Macaca fascicularis: one gene and its partners. The protein of the gene in region 2 interacts with the protein of the main gene of each other region in a biochemical or structural test. Links are inferred from orthologs where the notes say so. Each region holds a gene or a part of one and is shown on either strand. Other genes may lie near its edges.

What was found.
Region 1: the proteins of MAP4K1 (region 2) and NCK1 form a complex in vitro, tested with the Homo sapiens proteins (2 studies listed by BioGRID, with this or other methods). The link is inferred for Macaca fascicularis from reciprocal best matches to the Homo sapiens genes MAP4K1 and NCK1.
Region 3: the proteins of MAP4K1 (region 2) and GRB2 form a complex in vitro, tested with the Homo sapiens proteins (3 studies listed by BioGRID). The link is inferred for Macaca fascicularis from reciprocal best matches to the Homo sapiens genes MAP4K1 and GRB2.
Region 4: the proteins of MAP4K1 (region 2) and CRKL form a complex in vitro, tested with the Homo sapiens proteins (2 studies listed by BioGRID). The link is inferred for Macaca fascicularis from reciprocal best matches to the Homo sapiens genes MAP4K1 and CRKL.
Region 5: the proteins of MAP4K1 (region 2) and CRK form a complex in vitro, tested with the Homo sapiens proteins (2 studies listed by BioGRID). The link is inferred for Macaca fascicularis from reciprocal best matches to the Homo sapiens genes MAP4K1 and CRK.

What each region holds. Positions count from the first base shown.
Region 1 is NC_088376.1:39,809,288-39,815,260, reverse strand, and holds the end of NCK1 (SH2/SH3 adapter protein NCK1), read right to left. Parts: intron 5,520-5,973; coding exon 4,807-5,519; exon of another isoform or gene 4,771-4,806; intron 2,862-4,770; coding exon 2,667-2,861; 3' UTR 2,177-2,666; downstream 1-2,176. UniProt on the Homo sapiens protein: Adapter protein which associates with tyrosine-phosphorylated growth factor receptors, such as KDR and PDGFRB, or their cellular substrates. Maintains low levels of EIF2S1 phosphorylation by promoting its dephosphorylation by PP1.
Region 2 is NC_088393.1:45,677,284-45,683,316, forward strand, and holds part of MAP4K1 (mitogen-activated protein kinase kinase kinase kinase 1), read right to left. Parts: intron 4,693-6,033; coding exon 4,637-4,692; intron 4,539-4,636; coding exon 4,491-4,538; intron 4,352-4,490; coding exon 4,309-4,351; intron 4,219-4,308; coding exon 4,146-4,218; intron 2,712-4,145; coding exon 2,580-2,711; intron 1,285-2,579; coding exon 1,222-1,284; intron 1,112-1,221; coding exon 1,030-1,111; intron 41-1,029; coding exon 1-40. UniProt on the Homo sapiens protein: Serine/threonine-protein kinase, which plays a role in the response to environmental stress. Appears to act upstream of the JUN N-terminal pathway.
Region 3 is NC_088390.1:81,805,512-81,812,047, forward strand, and holds the start of GRB2 (growth factor receptor-bound protein 2), read right to left. Parts: upstream 4,193-6,536; 5' UTR 3,997-4,192; intron 1-3,996. UniProt on the Homo sapiens protein: Non-enzymatic adapter protein that plays a pivotal role in precisely regulated signaling cascades from cell surface receptors to cellular responses, including signaling transduction and gene expression.
Region 4 is NC_088384.1:31,929,925-31,935,448, reverse strand, and holds part of CRKL (crk-like protein), read right to left. Parts: intron 3,062-5,524; coding exon 2,927-3,061; 3' UTR 1-2,926. UniProt on the Homo sapiens protein: May mediate the transduction of intracellular signals.
Region 5 is NC_088390.1:1,530,275-1,535,730, forward strand, and holds part of CRK (adapter molecule crk), read right to left. Parts: intron 1,747-5,456; coding exon 1,609-1,746; 3' UTR 1-1,608. UniProt on the Homo sapiens protein: Involved in cell branching and adhesion mediated by BCAR1-CRK-RAPGEF1 signaling and activation of RAP1.

The DNA of each region.
Region 1 (5,973 bases), on a different chromosome or scaffold from region 2:
TTCTTCTAGCAATGGCAATAGATTGCATGAAGCCTTCCTGTTTTGTTTAGCAATATTATTTGTCACTAAATAGTGCAGGGTGCATGTGTTAACTGTATAGTGATATATGTGTAATATACGTGTGAATATATATTCAGCTGAATCCTAAGGATTTATGACTAAATAAGGGACACAATGGCAATTATTTTTGTTACAAAGCTTATATAATGTTCTAAAAAACCTTCTACTAAGATTTTGGGGAAGTCATTTGTAGGAGTTAGGCAGGGTTCCATCTGTTACGTGTATTTAAATTTGAAACTACGCATTCTCCTCATGTGGAAGAAAACTTCTGTCATACTGCTCTTCCCAGGACTCTCCTCCTAGTCTAAAACCAAACATACACAGAGTAGTGTGTCATGATACACACACCAGGCTGGGAATAAGGAAACTTGGTTTCTAATACAAGTATTGTTACTATCTAGCTATGTAGATGTTTTCCAGGATTGTTTCAGTTCTTAAAGTTACTTCAAGTATTATAAAAACAGTCACTGGTGTAAGCATTGTGTTAAGACTTTTTAAAAACTGGTAAAATGTGTAAGTACAAAATAAGTAGCTTCCAGCGAGGTTTTTATACCGTATTAAGAGCACACAATAGATATTACTGGCACACATGGGTTATCTGGGAGCTCCATAGCTATGATAAACCTAAATATGGAACAGAAATTTGCATTTTGTTTCCAGTGCTACTACATTCCTACTTTCTCAAAAGTCTGCTCTATTAATGTCAGCTCAGTGCAGTTTACTGTGAGTAGTTTATGTCTGTGATGCAAAGCATTAATTGTTCCTGTTTTACAAACATACATTTTTTTCATAAGGAAGACTGGGGAAAAACCCAGAAACGTACAGCAAATAAAAGGAAAGCCTCATCATATATATGTTAAAAATTAAGACGATGTTTACTACTAGTCATCCTACAACCATTTAAACAGTTTTCCTCAATTTATATTCATGTGATTTTACAGCAAAGAAGATAAGCATACATGAGTTTTACTTCCATTAAAAACTTAACTATTAATAATTACCTTTAACAAAGGAGCACTGAGTTAGAAAAATAATAGAATATGAACTAAAATGTTTTAAAAGCAGATGTAATAGAGATGAAAATTTGTCTTATTATATTTGGTCACTTCTGCTGCTTAGTGGGAGAAGCCATGGCTGCCACCCAGTGGCAACGTAAGTCTTTAAATGATTTTAAGATTTAAATAATAAAATATTTAAAACATTGATAAAAAAATTCACAAGTTACACAACTTCCATTTTACCATCAATAATTCTGGTGTATTAGATATCTGTTTATAACATAGCAAAGAATTAAAACATCCATATGCTTAGGCAGCATTAGGGAATTTGATGAAAGTATCATATGACATCCCACTCAGTTATGTGGCTTTAGTATTTTTCAATTAAAATATTGACGGCTACTTTACCTAAATTTAAATTTCCACAATAACAGGGGGACAAATTATGACCATAAAATACAACTGGTTTTCTTCTATAGCCTACAGAAGTAGATTAACCTCTCATCCATACACCCAAATTCCTACTTGGCTAAAAAAAAAAAAAGAAAAAATTAAAAATAATATAATTTTCCCTAACCATGAGCACATTCTATTTTTTCCTCAGGTATACATCAGTTTTAGCGTCCCAATCAACAAAATTTAAAGCTGAAAAGAGGAAATGAAAATAGGTAATACCATTCCTGATAATTACTGATATTTAGTGAGGAGAAAAAACCAAGTATCTCACTGCTTCCTATTTTTGCAAAACTTGGCCATAACTTGTTTCCCACTGGCATAAATATAACATATCCTAATACAAGATGCCCTGGTAAAGTAAGTGGGATTAAAAAAAATAAATAACACTAGAGCATCTATTTATAGTTTGAAAAGCTAAATATCTCAGAGACAATTTGGCTTTCTTGAATAACCAGATAAGGGAGAAGCACTGGAAAAAAAATTAAGAAAGTGATTTTTGTTTCCAACAGTTGTAAATTAAAATTGTACAACATGTTTTCTAATCTATGTCTCATGTGTCTTTCTGTACGACTGAAGACAATGAATGCATTTTTTAAAATTAAGGCAGACACAATATACTTGGTATTTACAATGGCCTGTGACAAATATAATACCTGGAAATAATTTCTAATTTTTCATTTATTATTGCTATTTAGTCACAGAAAAGATTAACACTCTCCAAGAAATTTATTTTAGCATATGTCATATATAGATATAATAATTTTATATAATGAAAAACCATAACAGAACAGGGCGCCTTTACAAGGAAACAAAGGATAGGCAATAAAGGATTTCTTCCATATAAAGATTCTGATAAGCATTATTTGATTTTTTTTTTCAAAATACAAAACTGTAATATTAGAAGCAAAGGGAAAACAGCAAAGAAAAAAAACAATAAAACAGAAGGCCAAGGATAAGGAACTGTTCTATGCAGATGCACTGCATACATAGTATATATGTATGGGCTGAATTATAATAAAAATACTTATTGTCAATTCTCATAAAGGTTTAGAAACAGCCATTTCCAATCAAGCACGATGGACCCAACATTTTCTCAGTCTTCAATTACATGACAAATTACAGCTATGCAGCAGTCACTTCTGGTCAGCAGTATCATGATAAATGCTTGACAAGATATAATTTTTCTCCTTGTTCACTTGTAAAAATTGGTGCCTTTTTGTAATGTTCTACAAGTTCTTCCATGGTGCTGAATTTACGCTGCCCAATGCAGTAGACAGTCTCTTTTAGTTGGACTTTAAAATGCTTGTTCTTCCCTTGTGCTTTTAGTGATACTGAGAAATCATTTGGCTAAAAGAGAAAAAAAAATACAGTAAACATTTTGAAAGCCCTCTATCAGTATTTTTATATTAAACTAAAAGCTAAAATTTAAGCACTAAGTCCTAGGTACCATGGTAAATTATTTACATAGATTTATCTCCTTTACTCCCTAAAACAAAACCCTTTTTACAGATGTGAAAACTGAGTCTCAGGGAAGCTATTAATAAATTGGCCAGTATCATCCATCTAGTTAACAACAGAGCCAGGATTCAAACCTGTGTAATCAAAAGTCTCTTAACACCCACAGCTCCACCAGTAGACACCCACAGCAAATCCCTTACATATTTGAAGAACAAGAGCTATCTTCTCTCCAGTCAGAGAAACACATGAGAAAGTCTAAGATACCCACCCAACCCCTTTTCAATGTGTAGCTAACAGTAGCTGTCTTAGGGATAACACGCTGAATTCCCAAAAATGAAGAACACACAAATGAGAATTAATCTAAACTTTAAGGAAAGGCCACAAACTCAAATGCCTACAAGAGCCAAAAGAATAACGTAAACAAGTGTCAGAGTGGAAGGGTAGATGGGCAGAGAAAATGACAGTGCATCACCAATCTAAAGAAGTGGTGACTTCTCAGCTGTGATTGTTGCCCCGCAGGAATAGGGTCTCAATGTTGGTAGTTCTTTCAATTTTAAATGGTCCAAAGTCTGAATTTTTACAATAAATATCCTAATATTTAAATATGGGCAATGAATTTAAACGTTTAAAAAACACTGTGAAGGCTAAACAAAATATGCCTACTTGAGACCTAACCTTAAAAAGTATACTGCTAAAAATAATGGTATATATTGTATTTTGTCTTATATTTATGCTCAATTACCCACAAGAAAATACACACAATTCTGCATTCAAGCTATTTTCTTTTTAATTAGGTGTTTTGTTGTTGTTGTTGTTGTTACAGTCTATATCAACCCCCAAAAGCCTCTTTTTCTACAGTTACTCCCAAAGTTTCAAACAGTGAGCCAGATCAGGCAACTAACAGAAAATGGATGTCATCACTCTTCCCTACTGCCAACCAACTGCTTTTCTGAGGGATTAGGCACAGGCCCCATTTTCCTGAACTTCATATTAGAAGTTCAATTAATCTCTCTCCCCACCACACCCCACTTCCACACATTTTCTTTCAAAATTTTGTGCAATTACACATTCCCTTTTGTACAAATATACTCACGCAAAGCCAAGATTAATCATGATTTAATAAATGGAAAAGTAATGATATCTTTTATCAAGGAAAAGGGCATTTTTAAGGAAAATGAGTGTCATCAAATTCTAATATCCTAAACAGTATCTAAGAGACCATGAAACCATACTATTTTTCAACTTTTATGGTTTTATAGTTTTATTGTTTACTAGTATTGCAATATAATTTACCTTTTATTGCAAATGCATTTCAAACACAGTGTTAAAATAGGTTTTTTGAGATTACAATAAAAAGTGTATTCCAATTTCCAAGTAACCAATTTATGAAGAAACTTAGTATCAATTTTTTAAATTCAGGGATTTCCTATGTCATAAGGACTACAGTGACTATCTTCTTACACATTGTATCCAATAGCAATTTTTAAAATGTTTCCCAATTTAATCTACAGTATTATTCTACATTCAATGAAGAAGTCAATGTTCCATTTTCTCCATTTAGTTTAATGCAACAGAAAATATATCAGGAATGCAAAATCAACAGAACTAGAAAAGACCAAATAACTCAGCATGTAGCATCACTGCCACAACTCTCTTTTCATTGAAAATAGATAGCTAGAAAGAATGCTGACTTTAGCTTTGGAACATTTATGCTTATGTTATGTCCCAGCTTGTTACCTGGTTAACTTTAGGGAAGCCACTTAACCTCTCCATTTCTCTTTTTCATTTTAATACATAGAGCTCTATTTGTATTTACATCTGAAAATCAACTTACCGAAGATTCACTATCTCGAATGAGGAAATCCCCTTCGTGTCCTCTTTCGTTTAATGCCATTTCTGCTTGATGCCTGGTGACTTTGCCATAATACCAAGGATTGCCAGCAAACTTTCCCGTGAGTGAAGGCCTAATGTAATCACACTGTGGAGGTGATGGCTCCAAACCTGAGGTTAATGGATTATTCTGCATAACGGTAACATAGTTTTTTGGTACTAGACCAACCATACCATTGATCTTCCTGCATTTCCACCATTCTGGGTCATTTTCAGGTTTTTCAATAACATCCATTACATCTCCTTTCTCGAAATTAAGTTCTTCATCGTTAGATGAGCTGAATGGGTAAAGAGCCTGTACCACATGCAACACTTGCCCGGTATTTAGGTTATTGACGACTGCTGCTAATTTCTCTGACAGAGAACCCACATGGTCACCCAAAGGACTGTCACCTTCTTCAGTTACATAGTTTGAAGGGAACCATCCAACTTGTCCATTGTAGCTACCACGCCACCACCCATCACTGCATTTCTCCATGACGATCACCTTTGTCCCCTTTATCAATGACAATTCATCCTCTCTCTCAGCCATGTAGTTAAATTTCACATAAGCGGGCATGTTGAGGTCATAGAGACGTTCCCCTGGGTCAACAAAACTATCATCAGCAGGAGATGCAGAATCTGGCACACTAGGTTTTCTTTTCACTTTTCCAATGCCTGTTGAAATTAAAAAGGGCCATGAGAGGAGAATATAAAAAAATGATTGCCAAAAGAACCAATTTATTCATTATTAAAAAGGGATCTTCAACTCTATATAGATCTTTAAAGCCTTTAAACATAACAAATTTCTATGTAGTTAAAAATCATCTTTTTGGAAATAAGATGCAAATTATCTTTTTCTAACCAAATAAATATTTAATTTCAGTTATTATATGACAGTTCACCATCTTTTTTCTTGTCAAAGGCCCTGAAATAACTTTATAACATAATTATAAAGTTGTCCTAAATTGATGAATTCTCTCTTAAATGTAAATATAGATTTCTTTCATAGCTACAATCTAGGTACACAAAGGCTCCACCATACCCATACTCTTCTTGTCTTAGTTTAAAGCAAGCTAGATTCTACAATGAGCTGTATAAAAATAAAATTATTTCTATCTTAAATTATAAT
Region 2 (6,033 bases):
TCAGGCCTCGATTCAGCCCAGGCTGGGATACCAGTTGATGCTGGGGGAGGGAAGAGGTGTCCATATCCAGAGGGCTGGAGTGGATAGAGAGGGCTGGTATGGACAGAGAGGGCTGGTACAGGGCCTTGGGGACTGGACTAAAGGAATCTAGCTGGGGAGAAGGTGCCAGTGGATGAAGAGGGCGGGGAAATCCAGGGAACTGTCAGAGGTCTGGGGTATTCTTTTTTTTTTAAGACAGAGTCTCACTCTGTCACCCAGACAGTGGCACACTCTAGGCTCGCTGCAACCTCCACCTGCTGGGCTTAATTAATTCTCCTGCCTCAGCCTCCCAAGTGGCTGTGATTACAGGCTCATGCCACCATGCCCAGCTAATTTTTTTTTTTTTTGAGACAGGGTCTCTCCCTGTCACTCAGGCTAGAGTGCAGTGGCGCAATCCTGGCTCACTGTAGCCTCCGCCTCCTGGGTTTAAGTGATTCTCCCACCTCAGCCTCCCAAGCAGCTGCGATTACAGGCGCGTGCCACTACACTCGGCTAATTTTTGTGTTTTTAGTAGAGACGGGGTTTCACCATGTTGGCCAGGCTGGTCTCAAACTCCTGACTTCAAGTGATCCACCTGCCTCAGCCTCCCAAAGTGCTGGGATTACAGGCATGAGCCACCGTGCCCAGCCAGCCTGGGGAGTCTAAGAAATTTTTAGGAATTAGAATTTACATTTCTCAGAGCAGGGCTGGGAGAATTCCACAGTTGTCTTGGAAGAGACTGTGGTTCCCTGGGGATTCAAGAGGACACTCAGGAACAAGTCTTGAGTCCTTTGGGAATTTGTGAGTTCTGGCAACTCAGGGGATTTGGGAAAGGTTTGGGGTATAGCCCAGAGGGTCTCTAGTGGTGGACGGTGGTCCTGGGAAATTCTGAGGCATTAGGGACTTCGGAAGGCCACGGGGACTCCGTGGAACGAAGTTATCCATGTCCTCGGGAGTTGTGGAAGGCCCCGGGGAATTCTGGGCTGAGGGTCTTGGGGAAGGGAGGGTTACACTGAGCATCTTGGTGGCGCTGGGTCGTTTCTTGGGGCTCTTAGTCAGGGTGACTTTGATGAAGTTGTGGAAGGCAGCGGACCTTGGGAAGAAGAAGCCAGGTTCTGGGTGAGGGGACCAGAGACCCTCCCATCAGGCCACCCAGCCCCAGCCCCGCCCTCGCTCACCCTCCCTCCTGTCACTCTCTCGTACCATTTGCCTTTTTCCTTCATTCGGGGAGGCTGGTAGCCACTCTTGGTCATGAGGAAGAGAACTCTAGAATAGTAGGGAAAGGATATGGAGTTCAGACCTTCAAGGGGGCCAGACCTCATGGCTTGAGGGGTTCCTAGTAGCATTACGGTCAGCAGAGGGCAAAGTGAGAAACAGCATGGAAGTGAGGTTCGGGTTTTACAGTGCACCAGGATACCTCTCCTAAGGGAAGCCGCTTATGGCGTGGTAGAGCTACGGCAAGGCCAGGTGCAGTGGCTCATGCCCGTAATCCCAACACTTGGGGAGGCCAAGGCGGGAGGACAGCTTGAGCCCAGGAGTTGGAGACCACCTGGGGCAACATAGTGAGACAAAAAAAAAAAAAATTTTTAATAGCTGGATATGGCAATGTGGGCCTGTAGGACCAGCTATGTGAGAGGCTAAGGCAGGAGGATCATTTGAGCCCTGGCATTCAAGGCTGAAGTGAACTACGATGGTGCCACTGCACTCCAGCCTGGGTGACAGAGCAAGATCCTGTCTCTAAAAATAATAATAATAAATTAATTAATTTTTAAAATGGGCGTGGTGGCTCACACCTGTAATCCCAGCATTTTTGGAGGCCAAGGCAAGTGGATCACCTGAGGTCAGGAGTTCGAGACCAGCCTGGTCAACATGGTGAAACCCCATCTCTACCAAAAAATACAAAAATTAGCCAGGTTTGATGGCGCTTGCCTGTAATCCCAGCTACTTGGGAGGTTGAGGCGGGAGAATCACTTGAACCTGGGAGGCAGAGGTTGCAGTGAGCTGAGATCGTGCCACTGCACTCCAGCCTGGGTGACAAGAGTGGGACTCCATCTCAAAAATAAATAAATATATAAAAATTAAAATAAAAGATAGGCTAGGTGCAGCGGCTCACGCCTGTAATCCCAGCACCTCGGGAAGCTGAGGTGGGCAGATCATCTGAGGTCAGGAGTTTGAGACTACCCTCGCCAACATGGTGAAAACCCATCTCTACTAAAAATACAAAAATTAGCCAGGCGTGGTGGTGCACACCTGTAGTCCCAGCTACTTGGGAGGCTGAGGCAGGAAAATAGCTTGAACCCGGGAGATGGAAGTTGCAGTGAGCTGAGATTGCGCCACTGCACTCCAGCCTGGGTGACAGAGCAAGACTCAGTCTTAAAAAATAAAAAATAAAATAAAATGTTAAATTAAATTTAAAAAATAGAGCTGCAGCATGTGCCAAGGTAGGCTCAAGTGGCGATCCCTGAACTGGAGGTTCCTGGGATGGAAGGCAGAAGCTGAGGGTGGGCTTTGGGCCAGGGCTGGACAGGATCTCTGGGCCTGGGGACCCCACACCTGCCTACCTGAGAGGGTGCACATCGAAGAGCGGTGGCTGTAGCTCGGCCAGTTCGATGGCCGTGATACCCAGGGACCAAATGTCACACAGCTCATTGTATCCTCCCTTCAGGGCCACGGCTGCCACTTCTGGAGCCATCCTGGGGGGAGACACACTCAGAGAGCCAGAGGTGGCATGGGGACAGGAAGGGAAGGAGGGGCAGAGAAGGAGAAGGAGTTGAGGGGAGATGCAGCACACAGAGTCAGACGGAGAGACAGAGGGACGGGAGGAAAGACAGACACAGGCAGACGAAGACGAAGATGCAGACTGGGCGCGATGGCTCACACCTGTAATCCCAGCACTTTGGGAGGCTAAGCAAGGCAGATGATTTAGGCCCAGGAGTTTGAGACCAGCCTGGGCAACTTATCAAGACCCCATCTCGGCTGAGCATGGTGGCTCTTGCCTGTAATTCCAGCACTTTGGGAGGTCAAGGCAGGCAGATCACCTGAGGTGAGGAGTTTGAGATCAGCCTGGCCAACATGGCGAAAGCCCATCTCTACCAAAAGTACAAAAATTAGCTGGGTGTGGTGGCAGGCGTCTGTAATCCCAGTTACTTGGAGGCTGAGGCAGGAGAATTGCTTGAACCCGGGAGGTGGAGGTTACAGTGAGCTGAGACTGTGCCACAGCACTCTGGCCTAGGCAACAGAGCAAAACTCCATCTCAAGAAAAAAAAAAAAAAAAAAAACCACCATCTCTACACAAATTTTTAAAAAATTAGCCAGGTGGCCGGGCGCGGTGGCTCACGCCTGTAATCCCAGCACTTTGGGAGGCCGAGGCGGGTGGATCACAAGGTCAGGAGATCGAGACCACGGTGAAACCCCGTCTCTACTAAAAATACAAAAAAAAATTAGCCGGGCGCGGTTGTGGGCGCCTGTAGTCCCAGCTACTCGGGAGGCTGAGGCAGGAGAATGGCGTGAACCCGGGAGGCGGAGCTTGCAGTGAGCCGAGATCGCGCCACTGCACTCCAGCCTGGGCGACAGAGAGAGACTCCGTCTCAAAAAAAAAAAAAAAAAAAAAATTAGCCAGGTGTCATGGTGTACACCTGTGGTCCCAGCTACTTGGGAGGCTGAGGTGGGAGGATCTCCTGAGCCCAGGAGTTCTAGGCTGCAGTGAGCCATGATTGTGCCACTGCAATCCAGCCTGGGCCACAGTGGGGCTGGAGGCACAGTGAACCTGTCTCTAAAAACAAAACAAAATGAAAAGACAGAGAGGCAGAGAAGAGAGTGAGAGACAGAAACAAAGAGACAGAGAGCGCTACAAACTGAGCTAGAGGAAAGAAACAGAAATGGATATGGAGGGACAGATAAATCAAGATAAAAACCAACACAAGCACCTAGAGCAACGGGCAGAAAAGGGCACAAAACGAGAGAGAAAAGTGGAAAACTCAAGAGACACCCAGAGAGAATGAAAGAATCTTCCATGGAGAAAGGAAGAGACAGGGAAACGAAGCCAGGAAGGAGGATCCCGGGGAACCACGGTGGGAAAAACCACTGAGCCCCACTCCACCCCTAGCTGCCCGCTGGGCACCCCTCACCAGTAGGGTGTCCCAATGAAAGAGAGGCGTCTGGCCAGCGTTGCCCCGATCTGGGCCGAGATGCCAAAGTCAGCTGGAAGCAGAGGGAGACATAGTGATCTGGGGTCCACTGTGCCTCCAGCCCCCCAGTCAGCCCCCCTGCTCAACCCCCAGCCTTACTCACCCAATCTGACCTCCCCAGCATCATTGATGAGGATGTTAGCTCCCTGGGAATGAGAGGGGGTATGGGAGGCTGCGGAGACTCTTTCCCCACAGCTCAAACTACCCTGATCCCTGAGTCCCCGAAATGCCACGCCCATCTCCTGGGCCCCACCCCCCAACAGCATCCCTGTAACCCCAGACCACCTTGATGTCTCGGTGTATCTTCTTCTGTGAGTGCAGATAGGCCAGTCCCTGGGGAGAAGGGTGGACAAGGGGACTGTGAGTGTCTGGGGGCTGGAGTGGGGGCTCCCCTCCTCTCCTCTCCCCAGAATACCCAGGCCTCTCCTTACCTGGAGCACTTCCCGGCAGACATAGCTAATCTGGAGCTCTGACAGGGAGCCTGTCACTGCAAAGGTCACCCCGGCCAGGCCAGGCGTTGGATGGGAGCCAGGGAACCTGGGCTGGGGAGTCCTGCCCCCCCACACCAGCTAAGAGGGTGCCATAGGGAGAGGGGAAACAGGACGGGACCAGTGGGAGGGGGAGATGGTGGGGTAGTCAGCAACAGAAAGAGGCAGCGATGCAAATAAAAGAGGCCAATAGGGCTGGCGCAGTGGCTCATGCCTATAACCCCAGCACTTTGGGAGGCCAAGGCGGGTGGATCACTTGAGGTCAGGAGTCCAGGACCAGCCTGGGCAACATGGCGAAACCCTATCTCTACTAAAAATACAAAAATTAGCCAGGCATAGTGGTGCATGCCTGTAATCCCAAGTACTCAGGAGGCTGAGGCAGGAGAATCGCTTGAACCCAGGAGGTGGAGGTTGCAATGAGCCGAGATCGTACCACTGCACTCCAGCCTGGGCAATAGAAGGAGGCTCTGTCTCAAAAAAAAAAAAAAGAAAGAAAAGAAAGAAAGAAAAAGAAAAAGAAAAAGAAAAAATAAAGAAAGAAAGAAAGTAAGAAAGATAAGTAGAATATGATGTAGTTCCTCAGACGCTGAAAGACAATAGGAAGAAACATACAGCAAGAAAGGGGCACGTAGGAGGAGGGGCTATGACATTTCACAGAGGTGGTCAGTCACGGCTGCTCTCTGAAGGTGACAGCAGGTGAAGACGTGAGGGCTCCACTCTGAGTGGGACTAGCCACAGCAAGTGCAGGGTCCCAGGTGGGACAGTTCCTGGTGGGTCTGGAAAGCAGCAAAGGCGGTGGGGTGGAGTGGAGGGGGAGGAGGAAAGTGGGAGGAGGTGAGGTCGGCCAGCCTGGGGTGGACCCTGATGAGGAGTCTGGGCTTCTCCTCCGAGAGAAATGGAAGCTGTAGGAGGGCTCTGAGCAGGGGCGTGATATGACTTTGCAAAATAAGGAAAGGCACAGAGACACAGAGACAGAGAGAGACAGAGAAACGGGGGCAGATCACACATGAGACATACAGAAGGAACAGGATTGAAAAAACCAAAAAAAATGAGACAAAGACAGAGGTCAGAGGCCAAAATGTGGGGAGACAAATTTAGAGAGAGACCCAGAGGATGACAAGGGAAGAACACACAGGCGGAAAGTCAGAGAGACAGAGAAAGGCCGTCAGACATTAGGTCTTACAGACCAGCTGTGGGATTCACTTCCTTTCTGTGGACCTCAGTTTCCCTGAGGACTTCTCAATGAAGTCCTTCCTTTTCTAACATTTGAGGTCTAGGGTTGGAAGGAATCAGAGATTTTCTGCCTTCCAGATTCAAGTGATGCTCCTGCCTCAGCCTCC
Region 3 (6,536 bases), on a different chromosome or scaffold from region 2:
TATAACAAAGTGATGAATATCTCCTGTACTTTACTGACTACTGTACTGAGAGTGAAAAACAAAACAGTTATATGGATACTAGAAGTACAGTTTTTACTGAGTGCTATTGCTTTCACACCACTGTAAAGTTGGAAAATCTGTAGTCTGAGTCTACAGACTCAGAAGAATTCTCTGGTAGGCAAATTAATGACCCTATTAAGTATAAATTTCAAGTTAAATCACTCTACATCACAGTACTAAGAATGCTAAAAAATTTACACATGTAAAAATGAATCATGGTTATAGTCACTCATTCCATTAGGCTATTCTAAATACTCACTTTGTGTACACACAGAAAAATGTAATTTTAGCTTGAATAACTTAAAACCACACAGCGGTCTTATTATTTATGGCTACATTCGGTAACAACAGTTTTGATCCTTAGACCATCTGTATCAAAATCTGCCCATTCAGAGACTGATTCACTGTGGGGTACATCCTGGAGTTCTACCAGAACCTAATTTTAAAAAGATCCCCCAGTGATTTTTATGGATACTAAATTTTACATCATTGCTATACCATAAGGATGCCTTAACCAGATTTTAAAATTTGCATTCCAGATAATGCACTACAATGTCCTTGCATGAAATGAAAATAATGCATACTGGCAGGGTGCGGTGGCTCACACCTGTAATCCCAGCACTTTGGGAGGCTGAGGTGAATGGATCACCTGAGGTCGGGAGTTCGAGACCGGCCTGACCAACATGGAGAAATCCTGTCTCTACTAAAAATACACAATTAGCCAGGCGTGGTGGCTCATGTCTGTAATCCCAGCTACTTGGGAGGCTGAGGCAGGAGAATTGCTTGAACCCAGGAGGCGGAAGTTGCGGCGACCCGAGATCGTGCCATTGCACTCCAGCCTGGGCAACAAGAGCGAGAATCTGTCTCAAAAAAAAAAAAAGAAAGAAAGAAAATAATGCACCGGCGCAGTGGCTCACGCCTGTAATCCTAGCACTTTGGGAGGCCGAGGCGGGTGGATCACGAGGTCAGGAGATCGAGACCATCCTGGCTAACACGGTGAAACCCCGTCTCTACTAAAAATGCAAAAATTAGCCGGGCGTAGGGGCGGGCGCCTGTATTCCCAGCTACTTGGGAGGCTGAGGCAGGAGAATGGCGTGAACCTGGGAGGCGTAGCTTGCAGTAAGCCAAGATGGCGCCACTGCAGTCCAGCCTGGGCGACTGAGCAAGACTCCGTCTCAAAAAAAAAAAAAAAGAAAATAATGCATATTCACTTGGTACCACTAGGAAAAAGGCAACTTTGACCAAAAAAAAAAAAAAAAGAGAGACTTTCAAAAGCCGTTCAGTAATGGTGGACAGTTCCTCTGAATTAAGCAAGTAAGTATTAATTTCTCTCCGGAGGGCATGGTGACTCTCTATTCTGTACCACTTCATTTCTCCAAAATCCATTCCTCTTCTGTTGTATGTGTAATAATTAGAACTCTGATGCACAACATGCGACGTGATAACAGCAATTACTGAGAAGAATCTCTAAGTACCATCAACCAGTAGTATTTAAAACCCAGCAAGCCTCTCAAATCTGAGTAACTTGCTGACGGGGTAAAGTGCCTCAAACATTTAAATGTTTGAGTTATGCAGGGCACAGTGGCTCACGTCTGTAATCCCAAGGCTGAGGTGGGCAGATCACTTGAGGTCAGGAGTTCGAGACCAGCCCGGCCAACATGGTGAAACTCTGTCTGTACCAAAATACAAAAACTAGCCGGGCTTGGTGGCGAGCACCTGTAATCCCAGCTACTCGGGAGGGTGACGCAGGATAATCGCTTGAACCCAGGAGATGGAGGCTGCAGTGAGCCGAAATAGCACCACTGCACTCCAGCCTGGGCGACAGAGCAAGACTCCGTCTCAAAAAAATAAAATTAAGGCCGGGCGCGGTGGCTCAAGCCTGTAATCCCAGCACTTTGGGAGGCCGAGACGGGCGGATCACGAGGTCAGGAGATCGAGACCATCCTGGCTAACACAGTGAAACCCCGTCTCTACTAAAAATACAAAAACTTAGCCGGGCGAGGTGGCAGGCGCCTGTAGTCCCGGCTACTCGGGAGGCTGAGGCAGGAGAATGGCGTGAACCCGGGAGGCGGAGCTTGCAGTGAGCTGAGATCCAGCCACTGCACTCCAGCCTGGGTGACAGAGCGAGACTCCATCTCAAAAAAAAATAAATAAATAAAATAAAATAAAATAAAATAAATAAATAAATAAATAAATGCTTGTGTTTAGTAGGAGAAAGCTGATTATAAGAATTAACTCTGGCCAGGCGCAGTGACCCACGCCTGTACTCCCAACACTTTGGGAGGCCAAGGCAGGTGGATCACCTGAGGTCGGGAGTTCAGGACCAGCCTGGACAACATAGTGAAACCCCCATCTCTACTAAAAATACAAAATTAGCTGGGTGTGGTGGTGAGCGCCTATGATCCCAGCTACTCAGGGGGCTGAGGCAGGACAATCACTTTAACCCAGGTGGTGGAGGTTGCAGTGAGCCGAGATCACACCATTGCACTCCAGCCTAGACAGAGCGAAACTCTGCCTTTAAAAAAAAAAAAAAAAAAAAAAAAAGTCACGTAAGCCCTGAGCCGACCCAATCTTCCTTACTATTATAAAGACATACTAGAAGAAGGCATAAGCAGGCACAAAAGCATAATCTTAAAAGAAAAAGACTAAAAGACAAAAATAACACAAGCAAACCACACTTGTGACCTAGTGGCAGGATTGATTTCTTAGGGATTAATTCAATCTTTTGAGCCTCCCTGTTCTCAGAGAGGGGACTTCAGCCTCCCACAGCTCTCTAGCAACCCTTCTGGCTGACTGCAGGGAACGCGCAAAAGTAAAGGAACGAAAGCAGGAAAGAGAGTCTCTTCCCGAGAAAAAAGATGTAATATTGAAATGAGAGAAAACGAACAGCACGAAAGGGAAGAAACCTCGGAAAATTACGCCAGAGTGGGGACTACAAGGAGGAAGGGGAAGTAGATAAGAGAAAAAAAAAAGGGGGTGATGGGGGGAGGAAGGGACAAATGACTTGCATTACACAAGCATTTCGTGTCCCTATTGGAATGGACAGAAGCAAAGAAGGAAGGACATAACTGGAGAAGTACTAAGTGAAAGAGAGGTAAGAAAGTCAAAAGAGACTAATGCTAATTTCTCTCATGTGTCTGACATTTCTGAAAGTAAACAACATCAAGAGGAGATAGACCTCAAGTGCACTTCAGTCCCCTGCAAACCGCACTTTCATAGCGTTTGAAGCTAGCCTTGAAAAACTTTCTAAACAAGCCATAACTCACATGTGGCTTACAATCACAGAGACGGCACGCTGCAAATGAAAATTACCAGCGCCCGCTCTCGCCGCAATCCTTCCTCGGTGCAGTCCAACCTGCTGCTATTGAATTTTTCTTGACAAACATTTTTCAAATAGTTTTTTTTTTTTTAAGTGTCAGAATAAAGGTATCTCCCCCGGCTCCAGCAGCAAACGTTCTACCCCAAGGTAGATTCCCGCACAAAATTAAGCCCAAAGACGCCAAGAGATGGTGACGTGGTTGCCGTGCAGGTCGAAAGCACATCAATCACCACAGCTGCAACCCACACCAAGTCCCCCGCCACCGGGCTCGGGCGGACTGACTCAGCCGGCGTTCTGCCCGCCTGGGCTTCCCGGGCATCTTCCGTGCAAACCCTCCCGATGAAGGCAGGGGACTTCGCCAGGGAGCCCCGACCTCTTCCCCTGGACTCCCGGACTGCCCAGAGCCGAGAGCCGGAGGAGGACGGTCCCCAGGAAGGAAGCGCCCCAAAAGGGAAAACGTAGAGTCCGGAGCCCCGGGGATTCCGCTCCACGTCCCGAGCCTCGCCGCCCCGACCCGAACCCCGGGGCCGGTCCCGGTTCCCCCGGGGCCCACTCCCGCTGCAGACCGGTGAGGAAGAGGCACCAGAGCCGCGCCGAGCGCAGCCTCCCGCACTCACCGTGGCGCAGCTGCTCCGCTCAGCGTCCGGCCCGCCCCTCCACAACGCTGCGAGCGGCCTGCGACCCAGAGGCTGCTCCGCGAGGGCAGCGCTTGCTCCCGCCGCCGTCACCGCCACAGACACAGGCACAGACACAGCCTCTGACACAGACGCCGCAGCCGCCCGGTCGCCGAAGCACTAGTGCCTCCTCGCTTCCGCTCCCCGTCGGTATCCCGCGAGAACTTCTCCACGAGGCCCCGCCCCGCTCCGCCCCCGCGAGACTTCCCCCAGCGGAAAAGGCCCAGAGCGCAGGCGCTCCTTCTCGGCCGGGCCCCCACAGGTGGGGACAGCTAGCTGCCAGGGCGCATGCGCCAGACCGCCCCGCAGCAGGTGGCCTTGGCACGGCTCCGCCCCCGGGTCGCCGTAACCCTCTCGGTGCCAGAACAGGTAAATGACAACTTGGCCCTGAAGGACTCTTCCCCCGTCTAATCACTTTCTTTTCCTCTTCTACCAAACCGAGGCAGTTGGATGGATAAGGGCTGAGGGGAGGAAGAGATCTTCCAGCATGAAGCGCTCCACATAGAGGACCAGGTCTTGAAGTGTTTGAGAATCCGGTCCGTACAAACTCTGCAGTGTGGAATGATTGGTGAGTTTGTTTGCTCATTGATTGAATCGTGTGCCTAATAGAGACTGAACACTGTGCTGGGTATAGAACAGAAATCTTGGCCCTTAAGGAATTCACTGTCTAGGGAAGTCGAAGAAAAATTAACAAATAATGCCATAAGTACTGTTATAATTATTTGGAGCTGCTGAGGAAGCTAAAAGGATGGAGGAGGGACTGCTACACTGCCCATTGCAGAAGAGCCTTCACAGACGTGATGCGGCGATGTCTGAGCTGAGTCTTGGAGGATGAGTAGGAATTTGCCAGGCAGAGAAGCCAGAGTAAGGGCATTTCAGGGAAAGGGAATGGCACGTAAGTACAGAGGCTAAGTACAGAGGAACGGAGGCGTGAAAGAGAAAGTCGTGTTCTGTGCAGTGCTAAGTAGTTCAATTCCTGTATGAGGCCGGTGAGTACGGGGGAGTGGCAGAAGATGAGGCTTGGAGAAATAATTCTTGTTTTTCAGTTCCCAAAGCTCTTCCAATTAAAGGATAGAACAGAACACACCTAGTGTTAATGTGCCTTCTGGAAGCCAACAAAATAGCGCTGAGATGAGAATAACCAAGCATCTGATTCTATAGAGAAAACAAGCCCATTGAAACACAGAAAATGAATTGTTCTTTCACCAAGTATTTATTGAGCATCATGTGTGTGCAAGGGGCTCTGGAGGGTAAAAGGCCAACCAGATAAAGCCCCTGCTTTCAGTGCTTTGTAATCTGGAGTTGCCTAATCTGTAAGACAGGTAGTTTGGCCCCAAGTGCCACTGAACTACACAGAGATGGCTGAGGAGGGAGCCAGTACTTGGTGATGAACTAATCAAGAAGGATTTGGTTTGAACGGCAAAGTGAAAACGGGGAGGAAAGAGGAAAGAGTAATGGAATCAGTCACTTTTTTTTTTTTTGAGACGGAGTTTCGCTCTTGTTGCCCAGGCTGGAGTGCAATGGCACGCAATCTTGGTTCACTGCAAGCTCCACCTTCTCCCATCTCAGCCTCTCAAGTAACTGAGATTACAGCAGCCCACCACCACACCTGGCTAATTTTTGTATTTTTAGTAGAGACGGGGTTTCGCCATGTTGGCCAGGCTGGTCTACGACTCCTGACCTCAAGTGATCCACCTGCCTCGGCCTCCCAAACTGCTAGGATTACAGGTGTGAACCACCACTCCTGGCCATCAACCAATGTTTTTGATTAGTCTGAGCCCAGGAACTGGGGGGAAGAGTAATGAGAGAGGGGGCCAAAATGCAAAATCTATAGCTCAGGTGTCATAGTCAAGTGATGGGCAACCTCTGAAGGTTTGTGAGCAGGAGATGTCTGATATGAGGTGAAAATAACAAAAGGACCCTCTATTTACCACTTGATGCATACTTAAATCATAGCACCTCCACAGGGTGGGCAATATGCCCATTTTATAGACTTGGAAACTAAGCCTTAGCGAGGTTAGTAATTTACCCAAGGAAACCAAAATATAGTAGACCTAAGATTTGGACTAAGGCCTGTCTTGTTCTAAAATCCATGTTTTTTTCCCCCACTATGCCACTTTGTTCTAAAATAGCAGCCAGAAAAAAATAGAAATGGAAGGGAGGGACTTGGCTGCTAAGCAGAGAGGAAGACGTGAGGGAAGAGTTGCAGTTTTTTGTTTTGAGTGGGCCTGGGTAACGGGCAGAACACAGAAATTTGCCAGTCAAGAGGCATAGCTGACTGGAGGGGGCGGGCACAGAGAACAGGGAAGGGCAGGTGAGGAGATGATTGTAGGGGTGAAGGGAATTTTTCCCTTCCCCTCTTACAGTTTGAGTCTGCTGAAATAAACTGGAAATAGATTAACAGGAAAAGCCACATACAAATTTACTGACATGCAGTGTGCATGGTTGCCATACAGAATATGAGACTCAGAGAAGAGCCAGGT
Region 4 (5,524 bases), on a different chromosome or scaffold from region 2:
ATAACCAAACAGTCAATGCCCTCTAGTATGTAATTTGTTTCCTTCCCAGGTGAAAAACCATAGTGAGTTAATTTAACATCCAAATATTTCTTAAAACATGGTAGAGCAGAGCAAGTAGCAGTTACGAACACCCACCCTCTAGGTCAGATTTGCACTGCTCTATGGAGCACAACTGTCTTCCCAGACCAGTGGGGAACCCAGGCACGAAGCTGAGCTGAGGCAGGGGTGCTGCTTTCATATGTTTAGTGTGAAAAAGAGAATATCCCTGCCTGATTTAAAAAACTGACAAGGTTGTAAGTAAAAAAGTTTTACTTTTGGCACGTATCAGGAGTGCAGAACTCAAGCTCGCCTTGTTTTGAGCTCTGAATCTCCTGACAGCCCTGGATGCCATTTTCATGGGCTGAAGTGATGAGCTGATTAATTATAAAACCAAACCACAGGTATACTCTAGGTATATCTGATTCTGAAGTGCGCCACACAAGGTGAGTTGGGGTATTGGTCAGTAGACAGGGCTGAAAGGAAACCTTGCTTTCCAAAATGGCCACAGACTTCTTGCGCTCTAAGTCAACTGCTGTAATTCAAAGGTGTCAAGTCCTTCAGCTAAATCTGTTTGAAAAAGGCTTAAGGGTCTGTGCCCTCCTTGAACAAGGCACATTCATCCCTCTGCTGGAAACTCCACTCAGGGTTCAACTTGGGCAGGGATGAACCAGGTCACTGGCTAAAGGGCAAACACTATTTCTAGGCAGAGTTTGGGGACTCTGTGATATATCTGCCACCTGTGGGTGCTACGCCAGGCCTGAGCCCAAAATAAACCAACCTGACACACCTAACCAGAAGCGGCAACTGCCGCAGACCATGCAGAGCAGGAGGCGGCCACCGTTCTCACTGGCAAGGAAGGGCTAATCTCTAAGAATTTTAGAGGAGAACCATAGATGGGAAGCCATGGTGATAGTTTTCCCAACTGACCATTAATTCTGTCACAGGGAACACTCTCAAGATTCATGAATATGGCAGTTATCTGCCTAATAGAATACTGATTTAAAGAAAAATTGAAAAATGGTTGTTTTGCTGGTTCTGTCTCCAGAAGGCATTGTTCTAAATCTCAAAACCTAGGAACCTCCAGACAGGGCCACAGTCACAGCAGATACTCAGTAAATGACAGTTACTCATTAGGCTGTTGCTACATTTCTAGGTCTGCTGTGTTCACTATAAGCTGAGGCTTGTCTTTACCAGGGCCCAGAAGGGAGAACAGACTGAATTACACAGGGTTCCCAGAATTCTAGTCTGCCATGAGCAGCAGATGACGGATGAACCACACATATATACCAGCTGGCTTGTATGAACAGGCCTCTTTTAGCTAACAGGGAAATGCTTTAACATCAATACACTGATAAGTGGTTAATGATAAACTGGTTAATGGTCTCCCTAGTCACTAAAACACTAAGACATCAAATACATTAACCAATTTCCAGAGCCTGCATTTCCACTGCTTGGGAGCATCAGACACTTACTTAGACTGTGAGACCAGTATCAGCAGCACCAACTTTCTCTGGCAGCCTGGTGAGACTGGGCCTGGGTACGGAGGTCTGGGCTTCAGTGAGTGGAATTTAACGATTCATTAATGAGTCCAATGATTCTATGAACAACCCCACTTTTTAGGGGAATTTAAGTCTTAACCTTAAAGGGGTACATTCACTGAAAAGCTGAACAGAAAACTGGCCAACTGCCCTCCAACCCACTGCTCTTATCACTGGCAAACAAGGTAAGCAAAGGTTTCCCTAAAGTACCCCCCAACTCTGATGCTTTTTAAAACAAAGTAATCCAAGGGGCTGTGCACATGGCATGGCACACCACAGCTGCATTATTTTGTGTGTTTTCTGCTACATGGCAAAACAAACTACTACTGGCAACCAAGACAATAAAGGCCTCTGCTTCAGGGTTGTTCTTTTCAGATTCCTTTAGTTACAGCAGCTTCAGTTTAGAAGCTCAGAGGCATGTGTCATTCCTTGCACTATCATAAAAACCCAACCTGCTACTTAACCTGTTTAGAACACACAAGTCTAGGCCAGGCACAGCGGCTCATGGCTATAATACCAGCACGTTGAGGGGCTGAGGCGGGTGGATCACCTGAAGTCAGGAGTTCGACACCAGCCTGGCCAACATGATGAAACCCCGTCTCTACTAAAAATACAAAAATTAGTTGGGCGTGGTGTGCGCGCCTGTAATCCCAGCTACTCGGGAGGCTGAGGCAGGAGAATTGCTTGAACCCGGGAGGCGAAAACTGCAGGGAGGCAAGATTGCGCCACTGCACCCCAGCCTGGGTGATGGAGCGAGACTCCGTCTCAAAAAAACAAAAAACAAAACAAAACAAAACAAAAAAACCCCACACAAGTCTAATTAATTAGTTTTCCAAAACCAAACCAAACCAAAAGAAAAAAAAAAAGCCGAATTTTGGAGTTTTAGAACAGAATTCTCTCTTCCTTAAGGTTCAGTTCCTGTTGTCCAAAGAAAAGCAAGATGGCAGCTGAGCCACTGCTCTGTGGAACAGCAAACATGCAGTATCTCGCCATGGCCTCAGGCTTTCTCTGGTGAACACGACAGAATCAGTCCCATGTACAAACAGGCAGCGATGAGAAGGAAGACCCTTTCCTCGTCAACTTCTCTCCACTTGTGTGCTTCCATCAGTATTTCCAGTTTATGATCCAAAAGAACTCTAAAATCGGCTACTCTTTGACAATACAACTATGATACAAACGTCAGGAGGCAGTCGCTGTGTGCATTCCAAATGTGTGTGCGACTGCCAGTCTGCAGAAAGCTGGACTTCGGCAATGCAGTGTGACTTGCCTATGAGAGAGAATGCTTTCCCACTTCAAAGGAGACTAGGACAGGCAGAACAACAAAGCAGCAGGAAACGGGGCAACGGCAATCACTCATTTTCATCTGGGTTTTGAGGGTCAAAGATTTTGACATGCGTAAAGGGAAAAAGCCCTTTGCGCCCATTCACCTCGCCTTCCCACTGGCCATTTATATTCATCCTTGTGACTTTCACAATGTCACCAACCTGTACGGATGAAGAAGACAAAGTTAGCATTTCTCTGCAACAAGAAAAAGACAGTTTACATTAAATCACAAACACTACCTTATCCAAAGGGCCCATACATTATTATTTAGACACAGAGTCTCACTCTGTTAGCCATGCTGGAGTGTAGTGGTGAGATCACTACTCAATGTAACCTCTAACACCTGGGCTCAAGTGATCCTTCCACCACCACCTCTTGAATAGCTGTGACTACAGGCGTGCACCACCATGCACATTAATTTTTTTATAGACAGGGTCTGTCACCCAGGCTGGAATGCGGTTGCACGATCACAGCTCATTGTACCTTGAACTCCTGGGATTACCTGAGGTCACGAGTTCGAGACCAGCCTGGGCAACATGGTGAAACCTCATCTCTTCTAAAAAATAGAAAAATTAGCCGGGTGTAGTGGTACATGACTCTAGTCCCAGCTACTCAGGAGGCTGAAGTGAGAGGATGGCTTGAGCCCATGAGGCTGAGGCTGCAGTGAGCCGTGATCGTTCTATGGCACTCCAGACTGGGCAACTGAGTGAGACCCTGCTCAAAAAAACAAAAACACGCACACGCACAAACAGCTTTTGAGCACAAAGCAGCTCCTCCCCAAACCAACCCTTTATTTTGGCTACTAACCCCAACAGGATAGAAATGAACACATGATTCTGAGAACAGTTAAAGTCAAATCACACAAAAAGGTGTATTTTTAAAAAAGACCTTCAGGTGGTAGCCATTGTAGACATTGTGCTCTCTGTTCAGCAGAGCACTAATCTAAGATTCTATTTTGTGTACTCAGGTCCATAAAAACACTACTTGAATATAAGACACGCCTAAGATCTAAGACAATAATAAATAAGCTTTCGTCTGCTTAAACACATACAGAACCAGGCATAGTGGTGCGTGCCTGTAGTTCTAGGTACTTGGCAGGCTGAGGTGAGAGGATTGCTTGAGCCCAGGAGTTTGAGACCAGCCTGTGCAACACAGCAAGACTACATCTCAAAATAAAAACAGGCACAAGGTGGCACAGTCCAGTGGTCCATGCCATGAACTTTGGAACATGCAGGACACCAAACAAATGTCCTGGTTCTGCCACTTTTAGAAACTACATGACTGTAGCAAACTGCTTAAGTTCTCCAAGTCTCAGTTTCCTTCCAACTTTGAAAGGGTCTTACAGTAATCAAATGATTGTTACTTGAGTAGAGATTCCTGAGTAGAACCCAGCCCCACGCCCCCTCTAATGATCATACCCTTTGGATGCACGAAGGGAAGAGCTGGAATTAGCACTGAGAAGCACAGCACTGTATGTATCAGAGGATTTCCAACCTTGTCACCAACAAGGGTCCTCTCAAAACCAACGAGGAACAGGCTGAAAACGGGGTCTAATAAATTACTGTGATGGATACTGAGCAGCCAAGGAAGACAACGGGAAGATGGAGATGAGGAGGCTAGGGACTGAAAGCTACCAAGAACACTCACACCTCATACCTTCCAATTAACTTGTGAGTCTGGCGGTCTTTAACAGGATACTTTCTACATGATCCTACCTAAACAATTAAATAAAATTTACTGAACATCTATTCCATGGAAAATGGGCAGGTCAGTTCGTATCCTCAAAAAACTTGTCTTTTAAGTGGGATACACGATGAATCTTTGTTAGATAATAACATAGTGTAAAAAACACGAAGTGGCTGGGCGCAGTGGCTTACACCTGTAATCCCAGCACTTTGGGAGGCTGAGGCGGGTGGATCACTTAAGCCCAGGAGTTCAAGACCAGCCTGGGCAACACAGTGAAACCCTGTCTCTAAAATACAAAAATGAGCCAGGCATGGTGGCATGCACCTGCAGTCCCAGCTACTTGGGAGGATGAGGTGGGAAGATCGCTTAAGCGCAGGAGGCAGAGGTTGCAGGGTTGCAGTAAGCTGTGATCATGCCACTGCACTCTAGCCTGGGTGACAGAGCGAGACCTTGTCTCAAGAAAAGAAAAAGAAAAAGGCTGGGCGCAATGGCTCACATCTGTAATCCCAACACTTTGGGAGGCCGAGGCAGGTGGATCACCTGAGGTCAGAAGTTCGAGAGCAGCATGGCCAACATGGCAAAACCACATCTCTACTAAAAAATACAAAAATCAGCCAGGTGTGGTGGTAGATGTCTGTAATCCCAACTACTCAGAAGGCTGAGGCAGGAGAATCACTTGAACCTGGGAGGTGGAGGTTGCAGTGAACCAAGATCATGTCACTGCACTTGGTGTAGCCAGGCGCAGTGGCTCACGCCTATAATCCCAGCACTTTGGGAAGCCAAGGTAGAGGATCACTTGAGGCCACATGTTCAAGACCAGCCTGGGTGACATAGTGAGACCTAGCTTCTATTAAAAAGAAAAAAGAGAGAGAGAGAAGACACATAAAAGCAGCAAGTGGCAGAAAAACACTACTAAATCAATGCTGCAGAGCATAGGA
Region 5 (5,456 bases), on a different chromosome or scaffold from region 2:
ACCGGTAAGTGCCTTTATAGACTGGGAACTAACTTGGAAGTCTCATGCTGTAGTCTAAATAGCCTAGATCATTTTTGGTCTCATAAGTCTATTTTTTGGAGCACCTGACCCCATATAAATCATTCCATACTTAAATCGATTGGTAAACTAAACCTGAACATAAAAAGAGCCAAAAGTGAAGGCAGTTTATAATGTAATGTACTTCAACAGCATTACTCTCCTCATGAGAAATGAATAATACATCAGTAATTCAGGATTGGTTCAACATTTTTTTTTTTTTTTTTGAGACAGAGTCTCGCCCTATCACCCAGGCTGGAGTGCAGTGGTGCTATCTCGGCTCACTGCAACCTCCACCTCCCAGGTTCAAGCAATTCTCCGGCCTCAGCCTCCCAAGTAGCTGGGATTACAGGCGCGCACCACCACGCCCAGCTAATTTTTTGTATCTTTAGTAGAGATAGGGATTCACCATGTTGGCCAGGCTGGTCTCGAACTCCTGACCTCGTGATCCACCCGCCTCGGCCTCCCAAAGTGCTGGGATTACAGGCGTGAGCTACCGCCCAGCCAGTTCAACATTTTTCAAAGCACTAACCCTACCCCAAACTCATGTAATACTAACTTGACTTTTATACAAGTTGCACAGAATGCAGAGGGCAGAATTTGGCCCCAAAACCTTCCACAGAATATTAGAGGTGATTGGTCCTTCCACTCTGAGTAGAACCTAAGAATTCCAAGAGTCTCCTAATAGGATACTGGCCTTCAAGAGAAATGGCCCTGCTGGATCCCATCAGTTAGGACTCTAGTTAACTGCTGTAGAAGGGTGACCTACTACGACCCTTTAGGGGAAGGCAGAGAGCTGGGAGACTGGCTGTCCACTTAGTGAATCCAACACTGGCTTAAAGCTATGCACTGAATAAAGTGCTCGGTACATTCTGCTTCTCACCTGGAATGAAAATACACACTTATCCTAGGAATTAACCTACTTACAGGTTTGGGGGACAAGAATGTCAAGGGCTAAAAGAATCCCAAGAAAAAGTATGAAGCATCGACTAGGAAGGAACAAATGCTTCTAGTAGTGTTCTTAGAATTCTTAGGATCTGAAATGTCAGAATGAGTCATATGCTGGTCATGCTCCATACAATGAAAGCAGTCCTGCTTGATACTATTCACACAGTGCATTACTTCCCGGGGGTGGAAGGGAACAGTCTGTCGCCATTTGATAGTATGGTTCCAGAATGAAAACAAAACCACTGAATAAATCAGGGTAAGCAGTGTGTAATACTCCTTCCTGTCCATCGGTTTTCCACAGGGTGATTTGCATTGCCTGAGAGAAAGGAGGCAAGATACCTATCCCTTCTGATACACACAGGCACGGCCACTACCTCCTACAATTGCCAATTTCAGAAGCTAACACACGAGCCCTCCAGTTCGTACCCTGAATATGGTACAGAAGACTAGGAATGGAGTAGTTCAGTCTAAAAAAAGATCACAGGTAACAGAATGCTTATATAAACTAGACTGCTTTTGACATCTGTAAGAAAACTGTATAGATGGCAGCTGGAAAAAAAAAAAAGATTGTTCCCATCTGTCAGCAAAACTGTTGAGCTATACTCAGCTGAAGTCCTCATCGGGATTCTGTTGATCCAGCAGACGGACATGTGTGAATGGGAAGTGACCTCGTTTGCCATTACACTCCCCTTCCCACTGACCACTCACATTAATCTTCGTAACCTTTACCAGCTCACCGACCTGCAGGAGGAGAATAAGGAGAGCACTTTATTTCCAGTTAGGAATGCAGCTGCACAACTCCGTTCTCTGGTCAGCACACCCTGCCCATGTGATTGCTCTAGGGATGTGACAGAAATGGCCCCTTGCTGCCTCCCCAGCCCCAGCCACCAGACTGATTCCTTGTGGTTAATGCAGGCAGAAGGAAGAAGTGTTTTTAGCAGTGCAGAAAAACAGAGAATACAGAAAGTAAAACAGGATCCCAGATAATGATACTTTTTGATTAAAAAAGGAAAGTGGTAATTATTGGAAATCTCAAGTGTCTCTGAACAAGCAATCCCCACTTCAGTGAGTGAGCTAGTATTCCCTTTCTTTGTACTCACTACCCTCGGCTTTCTACCTGCTCCGCAGACCCTGTCCGAGGAGAAGCAACCTTCTCCCCTCTTTTTTTGTGTTTTTTCTTTTTTTTGAGATGGAGTCTTGCTCTCTTGCCCAGGCTGGAGTGCAATGGCATGATCTCAGCTCAATGCAACCTCTGCCTCCCAGGTTCAAGCAATTCTCCTGCCTCAGCCTCCAGAGTAGCTGGGACTACAGGTGCCCGCCACTATGCCCAGCTAATTTTTGTATTTTTAGTAGAGATGGAGTTTCACCATTTTGGCCAGGCTGGTTTTGAACTCCTGACCTCGTGATCCACCCGCCTTGGCCTCCCAAAGTGCTGGGATTACAGGCGTGAGCCACGGTGCCCGGCCACCTTCTCCCATCTTTAGCGTCCGGCAGCAGCACAGTCCCCCAGCCCACTCGCACACATGTCCTGGTCTATTACCGCTTGCACAGCAGAAACTGATCATGGCAAGCATAGGTCACTTGGTCCTAGAAAATCAAGTGTTCCCATCACCTCCTGACCAAGGCAAGCCTTTTCCCGTATGGGCAGGTAGAGGTCCAAACTCCAAATCCAATTAGCTCTCAGAAAACCCCCACCTCATTAAGCAAGCTCTACTTGACAAGCCACTGCCTGCCCAGCCCCCCAATCCCACCATTCGACAGACCTTGCTGCTCCCTCAATGCTGCTGATTACCTGATCATTACCCAATGAGGGGTCAAAAAAACCAACTATGGTTGGGCACAGTGGCTCATGCCTGCAATCCCAGCACTTGGTGAGCCTGACACAGGTGGATGGATTGCTTCAGCTCAGAGTTTGAGACCAGCCTGAGTAACATGGTGAAACCCATCTCTACAAAAAATACAAACATTAGCTGGGTGTGGTGGTGGCCGCTCACAGTCCCAGCTACTCCGGAGGCTGAGGTGGGAGGATTGCTTGAGCCCAGGAGGCAGAGGTTGCAGTGAGCTGAGATCACACCACTCCATTCCAGCCTGGGCAATAGAGCCAGACCCTGCCTCAAAAAACAAAAACAAAAAACCCCCCTGTATTTCAGCATGTATTTACGAAATGTCTCGTTGCAAAATGAAATATAAAGTTGTTTTTTTGTTTCTTTTTTTTTTTTTTTTTTTTTTTTTTTTGAGACGGAGTCTCGCTCTGTCGCCCAGGTTGGAGTGCAGTGGCCGGATCTCAGCTCACTGCAAGCTCCACCTCCCAGGTTTACGCCATTCTCCTGCCTCAGCCTCCTGAGTAGCTGGGACTACAGGCGCCCGCCACCTCGCCCGGCTAGTTTTTTGTATTTTTAGTAGAGACGGGGTTTCACCGTGTTAGCCAGGATGGTCTCGATCTCCTGACCTCGTGATCCGCCCGTCTCGGCCTCCCAAAGTGCTGGGATTACAGGCTTGAGCCACCGCGCCCGGCCTTTGTTTCTTTTTTGAGACAGAGTCTCGCTCTGTCACCCAGGCTGGAGTGCAGTGGCGGGATCTCAGCTCACTGCAAGCTCCGCCTCCTAGGTTCACGCCATTCTCCTGCCTCAGCCTCCCAAGCAGCTGGGACTACAGGTGCCCGCGACCACACCTGGATGCTATTTTTAAAATATTTTTAGTAAAGATGGGTTTCACCTTGTTAGCCAAGATGGTCTTGATCTCCTGACCTCGTGAGCCGCCCACCTTGGCCTCCCAAAGTACTGGGATTACAGGCGTGAGCCACTGTACCCGGCCGAAATATAAAGTTTTAACAATCTATGATATATTTCTATCCTGCTATGAAACTTCAGAGGTCAGTCTGATGAATGGATTCACCCCATGGCAAAATGCTGAATGGTGAAATACAGCCTCAGATGCCATGCCACTGGACTAAAGAGTTTTATGACCATCCTTTAAGTATCAATATTTGAATTCTGGGCATACTCTGTTCATTTGGTTTTATTTTTTTTTTATTTTTTTTTATTTTTTGAGACGGAGTCTCTCGCTCTGTAGCCCAGGCTGGAGTGCAGTGGCCGGATCTCAGCTCACTGCAAGCTCCGCCTCCCGGGTTCACGCCATTCTCCGGCCTCAGCCTCCCGAGTAGCTGGGACTACAGGCGCCCACCACCTCGCCCGGCTAGTTTTTTTTTTGTATTTCTTAGTAGAAATGGGGTTTCACCGTGTTAGCCAGGATGGTCTCGATCTCCTGACCTCGTGATCCGCCCATCTTGGCCTCCCAAAGTGCTGGGATTACAGGCTTGAGCCACCGCGCCCGGCTCATTTGGTTTTATTAAACCAACTACTATTTACTGAATTATTATATAGCAGAGGGCATTTTATATTTTATAACTTTATATTACATTAAAATATAAGGTATTTTCCAATCCTCATAATCATCCTGCAATACAGGAACTGCTTTCATTTTACAAATCGAAAGACGGCAGTTTAGAGAAATGGCATGATACACATGCCACAGAGGCGGCAGTTAGTGACAGAGCTGGGAATTTGAGCCCAGAGCTATCCGGTTCCAAAGCCCATTTATGCTTTTTATCTTTTATTTTTTGAGACAAGGTCTCACTCTGTCACTTAGGCTGGAGTGCAGTGACACCATCATGGCTCACTGCAGCCTGTAACTCTCGGGCTCAGGGGATCCTCCCACCTTAGCCTCCCGAGTAGCTGGGACTACAGGTGCATACCACCATGCCCAGCTAATTCCAGGCATGAGCCTCCGCACCATGTATGCATTTTATACAGTATCAGGAACTTTCAAATCATGCTCCTGGGGTTGTACTGGGTTCCCTAAAAACGTCCGCAGGCCATCTATTGACCAAAGCCCACGGAGGTCCAGCCGCAGGGCCTCATTTACAGATGGACAGCTGGCCTCCTGGCCCCTCTGCTGCCTCCTAAAGACCTCTCTAAAAATCACAGAGGCCTCAAGTCATTGTATGGGTCATAGGATGCTGAGAAAATGAGGGACAGAAAGAAGGGGATAGAGAGACACATAAGATACAGAGGTTGAGAAAAAATAGCAGTGGGCTGGGTGCGGTGGCTCACGCCTGTAATCCCAGCACTGTGGGAAGCTGAGATGGGGGGATGGCTTGAGCCCAGGATTTTGAGAGCAGCCCTGGCAAAAGAGTGAGACCTTGTCTCTACAAAAATGTTAAAAAGCCAAGCGTGCTGGTGTGCGCCTGTGGTCCCAGTTACTTGGGAGGCTGAGGTAGAAGGTCACTTGAGCCTCCTGGGAGGTCGAGGCTGCCCTCTAGCCTGGGCAACAAGACCCTTTCTGCAAAAACAGAAAAAACCAAGCAGCTAAATCTGCCTGTGTCATGAAGATGAAGGCTGAGCACACGTGTGAAGGAAGGAGAGGAAGGGATGATGGTGCGCTATCCTTCC